Xenopus tropicalis: one gene and its partners. The protein of the gene in region 3 binds, or shares a complex with, the protein of the main gene of each other region. Links are inferred from orthologs where the notes say so. Each region holds a gene or a part of one and is shown on either strand. Other genes may lie near its edges. The genes, in order: ap1s1, ap1g1 and ap1m1.

Evidence for each region.
Region 1: the proteins of ap1m1 (region 3) and ap1s1 are in contact, whole or in part, in a crystal structure (PDB 1W63), measured with the Mus musculus proteins. The link is inferred for Xenopus tropicalis from reciprocal best matches to the Homo sapiens genes AP1M1 and AP1S1. Residues at the interface, in NP_031482.1 of Mus musculus: Lys12, Glu31, Asn186, Asn188, Val189, Leu190, Glu232, Glu234, Asn270, His272, Arg421; in NP_031483.1 of Mus musculus: Lys26, Lys30, Arg33, Glu34, Gln37, Lys43, Glu51, Trp52, Arg53, Asp54.
Region 2: the proteins of ap1m1 (region 3) and ap1g1 are in contact, whole or in part, in a cryo-EM structure (PDB 7R4H), measured with the Mus musculus proteins. The link is inferred for Xenopus tropicalis from reciprocal best matches to the Homo sapiens genes AP1M1 and AP1G1. Residues at the interface, in NP_031482.1 of Mus musculus: Ser289, Asn318, Asp319, Ala320, Asp321, Ser322, Trp334, Pro336, Glu337, Asn338, Ser339, Gly361, Leu362, Pro363, Ser364, Val365, Glu366, Ala367, Glu368; in NP_001288140.1 of Mus musculus: Arg24, Glu25, Gln28, Lys29, Ala32, Arg35, Ser36, Arg39, Glu40, His64, Phe65, Gln67, Leu68, Gln97, Val99.

What each region holds. Positions count from the first base shown.
Region 1 is NC_030679.2:143,417,729-143,421,480, forward strand, and holds the start of ap1s1 (AP-1 complex subunit sigma-1A), read left to right. Parts: upstream 1-1,308; 5' UTR 1,309-1,349; intron 1,350-3,752. UniProt on the Homo sapiens protein: Subunit of clathrin-associated adaptor protein complex 1 that plays a role in protein sorting in the late-Golgi/trans-Golgi network (TGN) and/or endosomes.
Region 2 is NC_030680.2:59,348,167-59,351,818, reverse strand, and holds part of ap1g1 (AP-1 complex subunit gamma-1), read right to left. Parts: intron 1,453-3,652; coding exon 1,444-1,452; intron 959-1,443; coding exon 863-958; intron 730-862; coding exon 649-729; intron 422-648; coding exon 323-421; intron 1-322. UniProt on the Homo sapiens protein: Subunit of clathrin-associated adaptor protein complex 1 that plays a role in protein sorting in the late-Golgi/trans-Golgi network (TGN) and/or endosomes.
Region 3 is NC_030677.2:98,838,301-98,842,052, reverse strand, and holds the start of ap1m1 (AP-1 complex subunit mu-1), read right to left. Parts: upstream 2,602-3,752; 5' UTR 2,369-2,601; coding exon 2,327-2,368; intron 1-2,326. UniProt on the Homo sapiens protein: Subunit of clathrin-associated adaptor protein complex 1 that plays a role in protein sorting in the trans-Golgi network (TGN) and endosomes.

The DNA of each region.
Region 1 (3,752 bases), on a different chromosome or scaffold from region 3:
GTGTATTGGGGAAATTGGAGGTACTGTGTATGGGGGCACTGTGTATTGGGGCAATTGGGGGTACTGTGTATGGGGGCACTGTGTATTGGGGAAATTGGAGGTACTGTGTATGGGGGGCACTGTGTATTGGGGCAATTGGGGGTACTGTGTATGGGGGGCACTGTGTATTGGGGCAATTGGGGGTACTGTGTATGGGGGGCACTGTGTATTGGGGAAATTGGAGGTACTGTGTATGGGGGGCACTGTGTATTGGGGAAATTGGGGGTACTGTGTATGGGGGGCACTGTGTATTGGGGAAATTGGAGGTACTGTGTAAGGGGGCAATCGGGGCACTGTGTATTGAGGAAATTGGGGGTACTGTGTATGGGGGCAGTGTATTGAGGAAATTGGGGGTACTGTGTATGGGGGCACTGTGTAAGGGGGCAATCGGGGGTACTGTGTATGGGGGGCCACTGTGTATGGGGGAAATGTCTATAGGGGTAATTGAGGGCCCCTGATACTTTTAATGTCTGTGTGTCCTTTGTACTGATGGGAGGGGCCCCGTGATTGCTAATGGCGGCCAAGAGCAAGTGATTATTAAAAATTAAATAAGGAGCAAAATGACAGCAGTGAATGTATTTCCCCTCAGCATTATCTCTGACTTCCCAGCCAGGCACTTCCTGTGAGATGCCCCAAGCTCCTCCCTCTGCCTGACAGCTCAGGGACATACACGTAGCGCAGGTAAGAGCCCGCCCAAACCTGCCCCGGGGTCACCTGATGTCTGCGCCCGTTACCATGGATACCGGGAGGGAAAGCTGGCATTGCCTCAACCGCCTCAGTGTGCATGTGCGGCAGGTGTACTTCCCTCCGCCCTTATGGGTGAGGCCGGGGGAGGAGGAGGAAGCGGCTCCGGACACTCAGCTACGAGAGGCCGGGGACGGCGGCCTGGGGGGCAGGCCGCAGCATAAGGAGTCACCGCGTACAGAACAGGCAGCAAGATGGTGAGAAATGGGGGATATGGAGGGGGAGCAGGCAGTGCGTTTCACAGGAGGCGGCTCTGCTAAATGCATTGGTATAATGATAACCAGGCGCCTCCATTCTCAGGTACCAGTGGGCGGGATTTATATCAATTAAGGAGGCGGAGCCTCCTGCAGTTCTCTGACAAACCGCCTGGGCATACCTACATACACTACACAAGCCGGCCAAGGTACAAGGCATTTTATAGACGCACCGAGCCCCGCCCTCAGGTTTCTACGTGAAGCGTCACAGCCCTTACGTACAGGCATGACGCCGCAAATCTCGCGTGAGGAAACGGGATTTGCTGGGAGACAGGAGGCCGGGAGCTTGCGGGGAACAGCGTTGCGGGAGGTGTAAGTAGCCAGTCGGTACCGTGTCAGGGCAAGCGGGAGTGTTGGGCGGGGCTGCGCTTAGTTACAGTAGCCGGGCTCGGTGCTGTGGGCTTGGGAAGGGAGCCGGGGTGCCGGCATGTTCTGTCCCCTGCTGCTTCCCGTAGTGCTGCGCGTTTGCCAGGGAAGTTTTAGTCTGTTTAAAGCTGCATGAGAATTGGAAGGGTGGGGGGCGAGGTTAAGGCTGCTCAGCCAATCCTGGTGCAGCTCCTGTGTGGGACCCCCTTGGAAAAAGCATAGAACTGATTTATCCAGCCTAACCACACCCCCTTGCCCTGACTCCTCCCCCAGCCCACTCACTTATAAATCCCTGCTCTCTAGTCAAGTTTTTCCCTACCCGCTCCTAAACATTACCCCCGATAGTGATGTGTGGGCTGGCTCCATACCTTGCTAATTCCCTGCCCTCTGTGCCCAGTCCCGCTGGGAAGTCACTACAGAAATGGATTCAGAATGTTGCATTAACCCCAGAGATGATATATATATGGGATCAACTGCAGAACTGCCCCACATCCCAGTAGAAAGTAACAGTACAGTCACATACCCTATAGAGCAGGGAGCAGGGGGTAGAACTGCCCCACATCCCAGTAGAAAGTAACAGTACAATCACATACCCTATAGAGCAGGGAGCAGGGGGTAGAACTGCCCCACATCCCAGTAGAAAGTAACAGTACAATCACATACCCTATAGAGCAGGGGGCAGGGGGTAGAACTGCCCCACATCCCAGTAGAAAGTAACAGTACAATCACATACCCTATAGAGCAGGGGGCAGGGGGTAGAACTGCCCCACATCCCAGTAGAAAGTAACGGTACAATCACATACCCTATAGAGCAGGGGGTAGAACTGCCCCACATCCCAGTAGAAAGTAACAGTACAATCACATACCCTATAGAGCAGGGTGTAGAACTGCCCCACATCCCAGTAGAAAGTAACAGTACAATCACATACCCTATAGAGTATGGAGCAGGGGGTTGAACTGCCCCACATCCCAGTAGAAAGTAACAGTACAATCACATACCCCATAGAGCAGGGGGTAGAACTGCCCCACATCCCAGTAGAAAGTAACAGTACAATCACATACCCTATAGAGCAGGGGGTAGAACTGCCCCACATCCCAGTAGAAAGTAACAGTACAATCACATACCCTATAGAGCAGGGGGTAGAACTGCCCCACATCCCAGTAGAAAGTAACAGTACAATCACATACCCTATAGAGCAGGGGGTAGAACTGCCCCACATCCCAGTAGAAAGTAACAGTACAATCACATACCCTATAGAGCAGGGAGCAGGGGGTTGAACTGCCCCACATCCCAGTAGAAAGTAACAGTACAATCACATACCCTATAGAGCAGGGGGTTGAACTGCCCCACATCCCAGTAGAAAGTAACAGTACAATCACATACCCTATAGAGCAGGGGGTAGAACTGCCCCACATCCCAGTAGAAAGTAACAGTACAATCACATACCCTATAGAGCAGGGGGTAGAACTGCCCCACATCCCAGTAGAAAGTAACAGTACAATCACATACCCTATAGAGCAGGGGTAGAACTGCCCCACATCCCAGTAGAAAGTAACAGTACAATCACATACCCTATAGAGCAGGGGGTAGAACTGCCCCACATCCCAGTAGAAAGTAACGGTACAATCACATACCCTATAGAGCAGGGAGCAGGGGGTTGAACTGCCCCACATCCCAGTAGAAAGTAACAGTACAATCACATACCCTATAGAGCAGGGGGTAGAACTGCCCACATCCCAGTAGAAAGTAACAGTACAATCACATACCCTATAGAGCAGGGGGTAGAACTGCCCCACATCCCAGTAGAAAGTAACAGTACAATCACATACCCTATAGAGCAGGGGGTAGAACTGCCCCACATCCCAGTAGAAAGTAACAGTACAATCACATACCCTATAGAGCAGGGGGCAGGGTGTAGGGCAGACAGGTTGAGCCTGAATAGAATAGAAATGGGAGCCTCTGTCTATACTGTCCAATTGCATGCTGGGTATTGTAGTTTTATATTAATCCTAGCTGTAGGCTAATTGTTAGATACAAACTACATTACCCAGCATCCAGTGGAACAGGCACACTAGGGTGGAAAAACTTTGGCTAGTTTCCAAACTACAAACTTGCCAAAGGCTCCAAAAAATAGCCCAAAACTGTACCTTGGCGGGTTTGTACCTTATATAGCCAGGGCTTTAAATTAGTAGCCCAATTTGGAGGGAAAACCACCAACCTGGCAACCATGAGGTGCGTGGCCACCGTGCTCCGCCCCTTTTCTAACATCATGATGGGTGGGTGCAGGTATATAAACACAGGGAAGAAGCCGGTTCAGGTTGGGAGCGGTCGGATCGACCCACACATCA
Region 2 (3,652 bases), on a different chromosome or scaffold from region 3:
AAGTGTGGATTTTGGCACAAAAAGCTGAAGTATGCAGTTTCTGCTGTCTGTGTGTGAAAAGTTAATCCCAAACATGTCAGAGGACTCACATACAGGGAACAGACGGCAGCAGATTGTTATTTCTCAACTGGCATATAAACTCTAGCAGATAAAGACGACCTGTGTACTATTAGCCTAAAGGTTTAGAACAGCTAGAAAAGGGGATTTGCACAGGTTAATGCAGAAAGAAGAGGCAATGGTGGTCTATTTGCAGGAGCAGTTATTATGCAAGGGGGGAGAAAAGTGATTTTAAGCAAAAGATCAGATCTGATGTGACACATACCCGTAGACCACTCTCTGACTTTATGTCCATGATTGTTAAGACAGTCTCATATAAAATGGCATTGCCGACATTTTTACTAGTCTCTGTGTTGGTTGCAACCTAAAAAATAACAATAGCACAAGAGGAAAATAACTATATAACTGATGAAGTGCGTCATCTAGAACACACAGCACTATTACTCTCGTTCCACACAAAATCCACAAATCAACAAACCAATACTACACTTTTGTAAGTCCATTCAGTCAAAAACAAATCTTTTAATCAACTGCTATACCAGGCAAAAATACAGAAGTTTATTATCGACCGAGCTGCATTTGCTTGCTTACCTGTGCCAAAATATCATTCATGGCTTCACTTGAATCATCATCATTTCTGCCTAATATCCTGAGAAGCCGCAATATCCGAACCTTAAACAGTCCAAAAAACAAGCAAACAAACAAACAAAAAAAAAAAACAGTTATTAGGTAACCAAGGTCCCTCTTAGAATTTAATAAAAATGCTTCATACCGTCACTGAGCTTAAACACATACCCACACTCACCTGCAAAAAGGGGTCACTGATCCCAGACACATCATGTTCTGGAGAATACCCGGACATGATAAGGTTTTTAAGAATACGAACTAACTGGGGGACAAGCTGGAGGGGGAAAAAAAAGGTTTGATAGACTCAAAAAACTTTATCTCAAAAAGCTAAAATTTATATCAATGTGGATCAGTCTGCTCTCAAAGCAAATACACATTATATTTCCACCAGAACACAAATCTGACCACAACAGACAGAGTGACTAAAGCTACAAAGTAGGCATTAGTTGTAAACTTCAGATTGGGTTGTGTGTATGGAGATCAAGGTAATACGATTCAGTACGACAGGCACAATGTTATGGTTTAGGAGTATAAGCCACGGAAGGACAAGATTTACAATGGATCCCTCAGTAAATCAAGTTTTTGTTCTGTTATTTTTTAATTTGGGACAGGGGTGGTAAAGGAGGCTAGTTTTTAGCTTTACAAAATATCTAAAAAGACTGATAAATAAGTTACACTTGTGGAGAGTGATTTCATTCATTCAATAGATCAACTATCTAGGGCAGAAACAACAGTGAAATACAAAAGAAGAAGTCTTACCTTTTCATTCTACCATTCAGCAGGATCCCAAGCAAACAGAATAAAAGACAGGAAGCAGCAATTAGGGACACTGATCTGCAGAGCATGCATGTGGGTGCTCTGATGTGAAAATATTTTAGATAGCTGTCACATTCAAAAGGTCTGATATTTTAAGATGTTTTGCAAACAAAAGGTAATTTTAAGCTACCCAGAAATATCTAAAGAACCACTCAAAGTGTCAGTTTTTAATTCGGTAGTTAATCGTGACAAAACAGATTTTCCTTATTTTGGCACAACTATACATGTCCCAAAATGCCAGAATAAATTACCATTCCACTAATACTAAAGCACAAGCCCCCTAGTGATTGAGCTACTGTGAAAGAATTGTAATAAAGGTCAGAGGGGTTGCAGAAAGTATGCAAGAGAGTCACTCAAGTACAGACTAACATAGGCTGCCAAGCAACAGCACAGCAACAGAGCAAGTTGGATGGGAGGATTAAAAATCAGAGACCTATGGCTTTGTTTAAGAAAGAAAAAGAAAAGTGCTTGAAATGGTTATGTGAAAGCACGGCTAGGCTTATTGAGAATATATCTATTGTGTCTTTGATTGGACAGTAGAAAACTGCTAATATATAACGAAAAGTGAAGAAAAAAAAAAGTAAATTGTTAAAGTGCTCTGAAAAGCTCTCTGGGCAGTTTTACATGAATATGTTTAGGAGTGTTTAGTCCCACTTTAAAATTATGATGTTAAACAATGACACTTTTTAGAGCAACTAATAAGGCCTTAACAATCAAGCCTTTGAGGATCCACTTGGAACAGCCCTGGACGGTCTTTCCTACATTTCTAATTTTTTTTTTCATTCTTCACATTTACATTTACCATTTCTCAAAAATGTTTAAGAGAGGCTGATGACCTCCAATGAAAAAAAACACATTGAGAATGAAACTAAGGCAGATGGTAAACAAAAGTGAATGAAAAGACAGACAAAGTGGAAGACAGCGGCATAACTATAGAGGAAGCAGTCGCAGGGAGGCCTGGGGAACAGGGGGAGCCCTCCAAAGATATGCCGAAGGGGGCCTCGTAGAGTGTTGTTTTACCACTGGTGGAAGAGGATCTCTAAGCAGCATTTAAATGATGGGGAGTCCATTGAATGAATAAAAGACCTGATCAATAACAGGTGGCCACAACAGAAATATACAGTGGACCTCAATAGTTTGTGAACCCTTTTGGATTTTCATTTTTTCTGCATATATTGTGAGTTATAAGATGATCTGTCTCATGCAAGTCCTAAAACTATGTATAGAGAACCAAGTTAAACCAATCAGCCAAACACAATGCATATAATGATCCAAAGTTACATAAGTGTGTTTGGCAAAGTATGTGGCCCTCTAGAATTCTCAGTTCCTTTGAAGGGGATATTTGAGTTTTAAACAATGGCATGATAATCGGGATAATTATCATGTGATGCTCTGCCTTATCTAGAGAAATCTGGGTTTGTGGCTGTGTGTTAAGGCTTAAACAGAGATTTCTTAAGACCTCAGAAAAACAGTTATTGATGCTGTCAAGGCTGGAAAAAGCTTTAAAACTATTTCTAAGGAGTTTGGACTACACTTGTACAGTTGTGGTCAATCAACAAATATCATCACACCAAGAGTAAGGTATTAATATACTGCAGGGAACTCAAACAACCCCATTTGCATTGGCAAATGTCAGTAGGGCCAAACAATCAAATTAGCCTAAAATTGCCAACCTTTAGGTGGGCATATCGGGAGACGATCTGCTCGCTTGGCGGCCTCACTAAACAAGCAAATCTTCCGGTGTATGGCCACCTTAAGTTTGTAACAGTGAACCTCAACCAGTGGCTCGCGAGCAACATGTTGCTCCCCTTTGATGTTGCTGTCAGTTCCCTCCATGTAGGTGCTCATTTTTTTAATTCCTGGCTTGAAGGCAGGATTTAGTTGCATGAAAAACTTGAATACTGCAAAACAGAGCCTTGTCGGTTGCCAGTCCACATAGGAGTTACAAACAGTCAATGACAGCACATAATGGACACCCCCAGGAACTTTTTGCATGCTCTTCACCTTTTCTTATATTTTAACATAGCTGGTCTACAACATACAAAACTTCACATTAGTAGGGGAAATCCACCCTTGATTATTTATTACTTATTATTACTAACCACTAGGGTGGTGCTGGCAGTGGTTAAAAACCTTTTGATCACATCAGTGA
Region 3 (3,752 bases):
AAGGCACTCAGCAAATTATCTTAGAACATCACTGCATCATATGAAAGGGTCATTTAAACGTGACCTACTCATTTAAAGAAGTAGTAAGCCTGACATAGAAGAAGCTTTCTGGGAATGTACAGAGAAGCAGAAGCCAGTGTGCAGCAGCAGTTTTTTTTCAGTTCCCATACATAACTTGCCTGACTTACTGTGCATTCCCAGAAAGCTGCCCTCTTCCACTATAGAGAGCTGAACAGGAAGAGAGGCAGGGCTTCATGCTGTACCAGGAAGAAGAGGAAAAGAGCTGGAGATTTCAACTTATAAATCAGAAACCAGATCAGACTGAATGCAGGGACTAAGGTAAGTTATTCTGGGGGTTGTTTAGAGTCATTTTAAGACAGAAAAAAAGGTTTACCAGAAGCTTTATCAGAAATGTCTATGTAAATACAGCAATAAACACTCACAGAAACACTATACTGACTTATCTGTAAAAAGATTAGCTGTGTCTGTTTTCCTCTGCCAGAGACACACAGCTTTCAGCTCTCTCCTCTCTGCTGCTCCCCTGCTCCCCTCCTCCCTCAAGAATGCTAAGAACTCACCCCCCCCTTAGGAATGTGGATCTGAGCCAATCAACAGGAAGCTGACTCATAGTCTTACTAACTGAGCATGTTCACTTGGTCTGGGTGTCTGTGCAGGAGTGAGGCATTATGGGAACTTTACACAGCTCAGTGTTTTTTCTTCCTGTTTAGCTTCTGATCATCTGAACAGGTGAAATATGGGGAGACTTAGGGGCACTATTGAGAGAACTGAAGGTATGCCTGCAGCTTGAGATTAACTCTTTATTAGCCTTTCCTTCTCCTTTAAGACAAACCCAGTTGCAGTTATTTGTATAATACAAATATCAGTGTACCATCCATAACAGAAAGATAGCATATACAAGTATTTTTAAGTGGTTTATAATAAACAAAAATAAAACATTTGAAAAAGGTAGGCAATAAATATGTAAACTGTGGATTTATAGAACACATTCCTGTCAGTCCTGTTCAAAAAACCACAACAAGCTTTAATCCATTTTCTAAAAAATAAATCTGTTCAAACAGGTCCCAGTACCATTTAGATGAAACACAGCAAATGTGGATATAAAGTAGTCTTTGGATCCAAGGTTATAGGTTGTAATTTCTGGGAATGTCTAGGCACCTCCCCCCATCATTTTTTTTACTTTTTTGTGCTCTACGGGCTAAACTTCACTATATCTGATCCAAAATTAAATTAGAACTGATGGAGATCAGATTTTGTAAGATCCAACAAACTCTTGTGCTGTTAAGTCAGACAGAATCTGACCCACAAAAACTGATCATAAGCACTCCTGGAGTTTACCCTAACAGCTTGGATTTGGTTAATAATAACCAAGAGAAAAATATGTTGAGTGATAAAAATGCTTAACCCAAAATGCTGAACCTGGAGTATTGCAGGGATGTGTTTCACAGACACAAAGTAGTTAGATAAACATAAATCAGGTAAGATCTAGGGAGAATGCTACTTTCTGTCATAGGTACAGCAGAAAGCCAATCTTTAAGGCCACTTGGGGTAAGAGTTGCTCTCCTACACTATGGCTGTGCGACTGATAATTTTTTCCTATATCTGGATCTGGATCCCCACGAGGCTCTTGTTAAGCTTAAAATGTCTGAAAACCAATGATCTGAGGAAGTGATAGTGATGTACACATAGATATTTAATGAACAGATCTGTGCCAGGGTTTTCTGTACTACTGATTTATAATAAAAACTGCTCAGACAGATCCCATGGCTATTTCACTAATGAGTAACATTTCAGGCAATCCTTAGCTTCTGACCTTCACACAGTCCTTTCACATGTAGGTAAGGTTTGGCACACAAGTAAATCGCACACAGGGGCACCTGCTGCTGCGCTCACACAGTGTTATTAACTCCGGCTCAGTAACATAGAAGTGGCAGCTGCCGGCCAAACGAGCAGCAGGCAGAGCATCTCATACAGGGAGTGGAACGTATTGGGTGGTGGCGATGTACAATACGAATACCACATTTATAAGGTTTGGTCAGACATGCATCTAATCGGAAGAGAAATCATGCCACTCTGAGAAGGGCCTGGCTAGCTACAATCGAATTCAGCGACCTTCAATGATGAAACACATACACAATCTGTCATATTCAAAGAAATAATGCTGTATTGTCCTAATATTGCTTCATTTCATCCGCCTTGCTCATACAGATCAGAAACGTTCTATTCGGCACCCTAACACTACAACATGGCCCTGCCAGCCCCGCTCTTGGTGACCAGCCCTGCCCGCATTCATTATCCGAACGCTCACCTTCCCTTTCAGGTCTAGCACATATACTGCGCTAGCCGACATCCTTACGGCCGAAGATAGTCCTGCAAAGGCAAGCCAAGCTGCTGCCCACTAGCCCAAAGCTTCGTTATCCTCAGTCCTCTCACAATACCATCCCCGTTATCCACCTCGATAGCGGTCCGCTCAGAGAGGAAACGCAATGTAACTTCCGGTTAGCCCTGTCATAGAGACTTAACATTCCCTTACTAAGATGGCGGATTTAGTCAAAAAGCGGGTCCTTCCATAGTCGATATTTGTGAACGGTCTAAACATGTCTCCACACAAAAAATGTGTGAGACGTCTTATAGAAAGGCCATTAATTGTTTTACGGCTGACAGATTGAAACAATTCCTTGCGTTACTATTTATTCTTGGCCATATTGATTCACGCGAATCAGATTGCACGGACGTTCTACTACATTTGGCTTTTATGGAAGGAAGCCTTTGTAGTAAAGCTTGCGCTGAACGTACTTTTTGCATGTTGGTATGATATGAAAAATCTGTTTTTTTGTTCATTCTTGAGAAGACACAGCAAAAACAGGGAAACTGATTCTGTTCCATGAAGGAGATAATTTGATTGCCCATGTACAGATTATTCCCCTGCATGATGGACTCCTGCGAATAAAACACAATGGGCGAGGGAGGGGGTTGAATACTGGTAATGAAATTATCTACCTGGCATGAACCAAACATGGAGTAGCTTCTGTTTCTCTGTTTACCCCAAGATATATAAAAAACCACATAGACTTTACATAATTAAAAATAAAGATACAAAGTATGTTCAGCACAAGCCCTGTTCATTTAAAGAAGAGGGTTTACTGACTCATGTTTGTCACTGTGTATGTTTTATTTATTAAAATGTTTATTTCTCATTGTACACTTCCCATCCTTTACAAATGTATATGCTCTGTATATACTGTAGCACTGTATAAATAAATGTACATATATATGCATTTGATTTGTCAAACAGATTATTGCTGTTGTATAAACATAATAATTCACATAATTATTATTTACTAGCAGGTCTTGGTTTTAGCTGGAGTGTATTTATCAGAGGTGGCCCATAGGCGACCTGGCCAGCCACCTTGCCCCACCACTTCCCCCTCTACCAGGAAATCCACTGTGGGGGTAAGAGATCCCGGACTAAGGGTTGGCAACAGAAGTACCTGCCCTAGACAGGTGCCTCTTCCGCCTACCCCTAGTTCCGGCCCTGGTATTTATTATCTGTGCTGCTGTGGTCAGTCTTAGCTAATACATGTTCATAAAACTCTCCTAAAACCCTGCCATATACAGTGTGGGACTGGCCTGCCATGGTAGAGGGAGTTGTCCCAGTGGGTCCTGGTGAGTGGTTCCTGAGACCATTCTGCAAAGCAAAGCATTAACTCTTTTCTACCTTTTCATTATTGTGT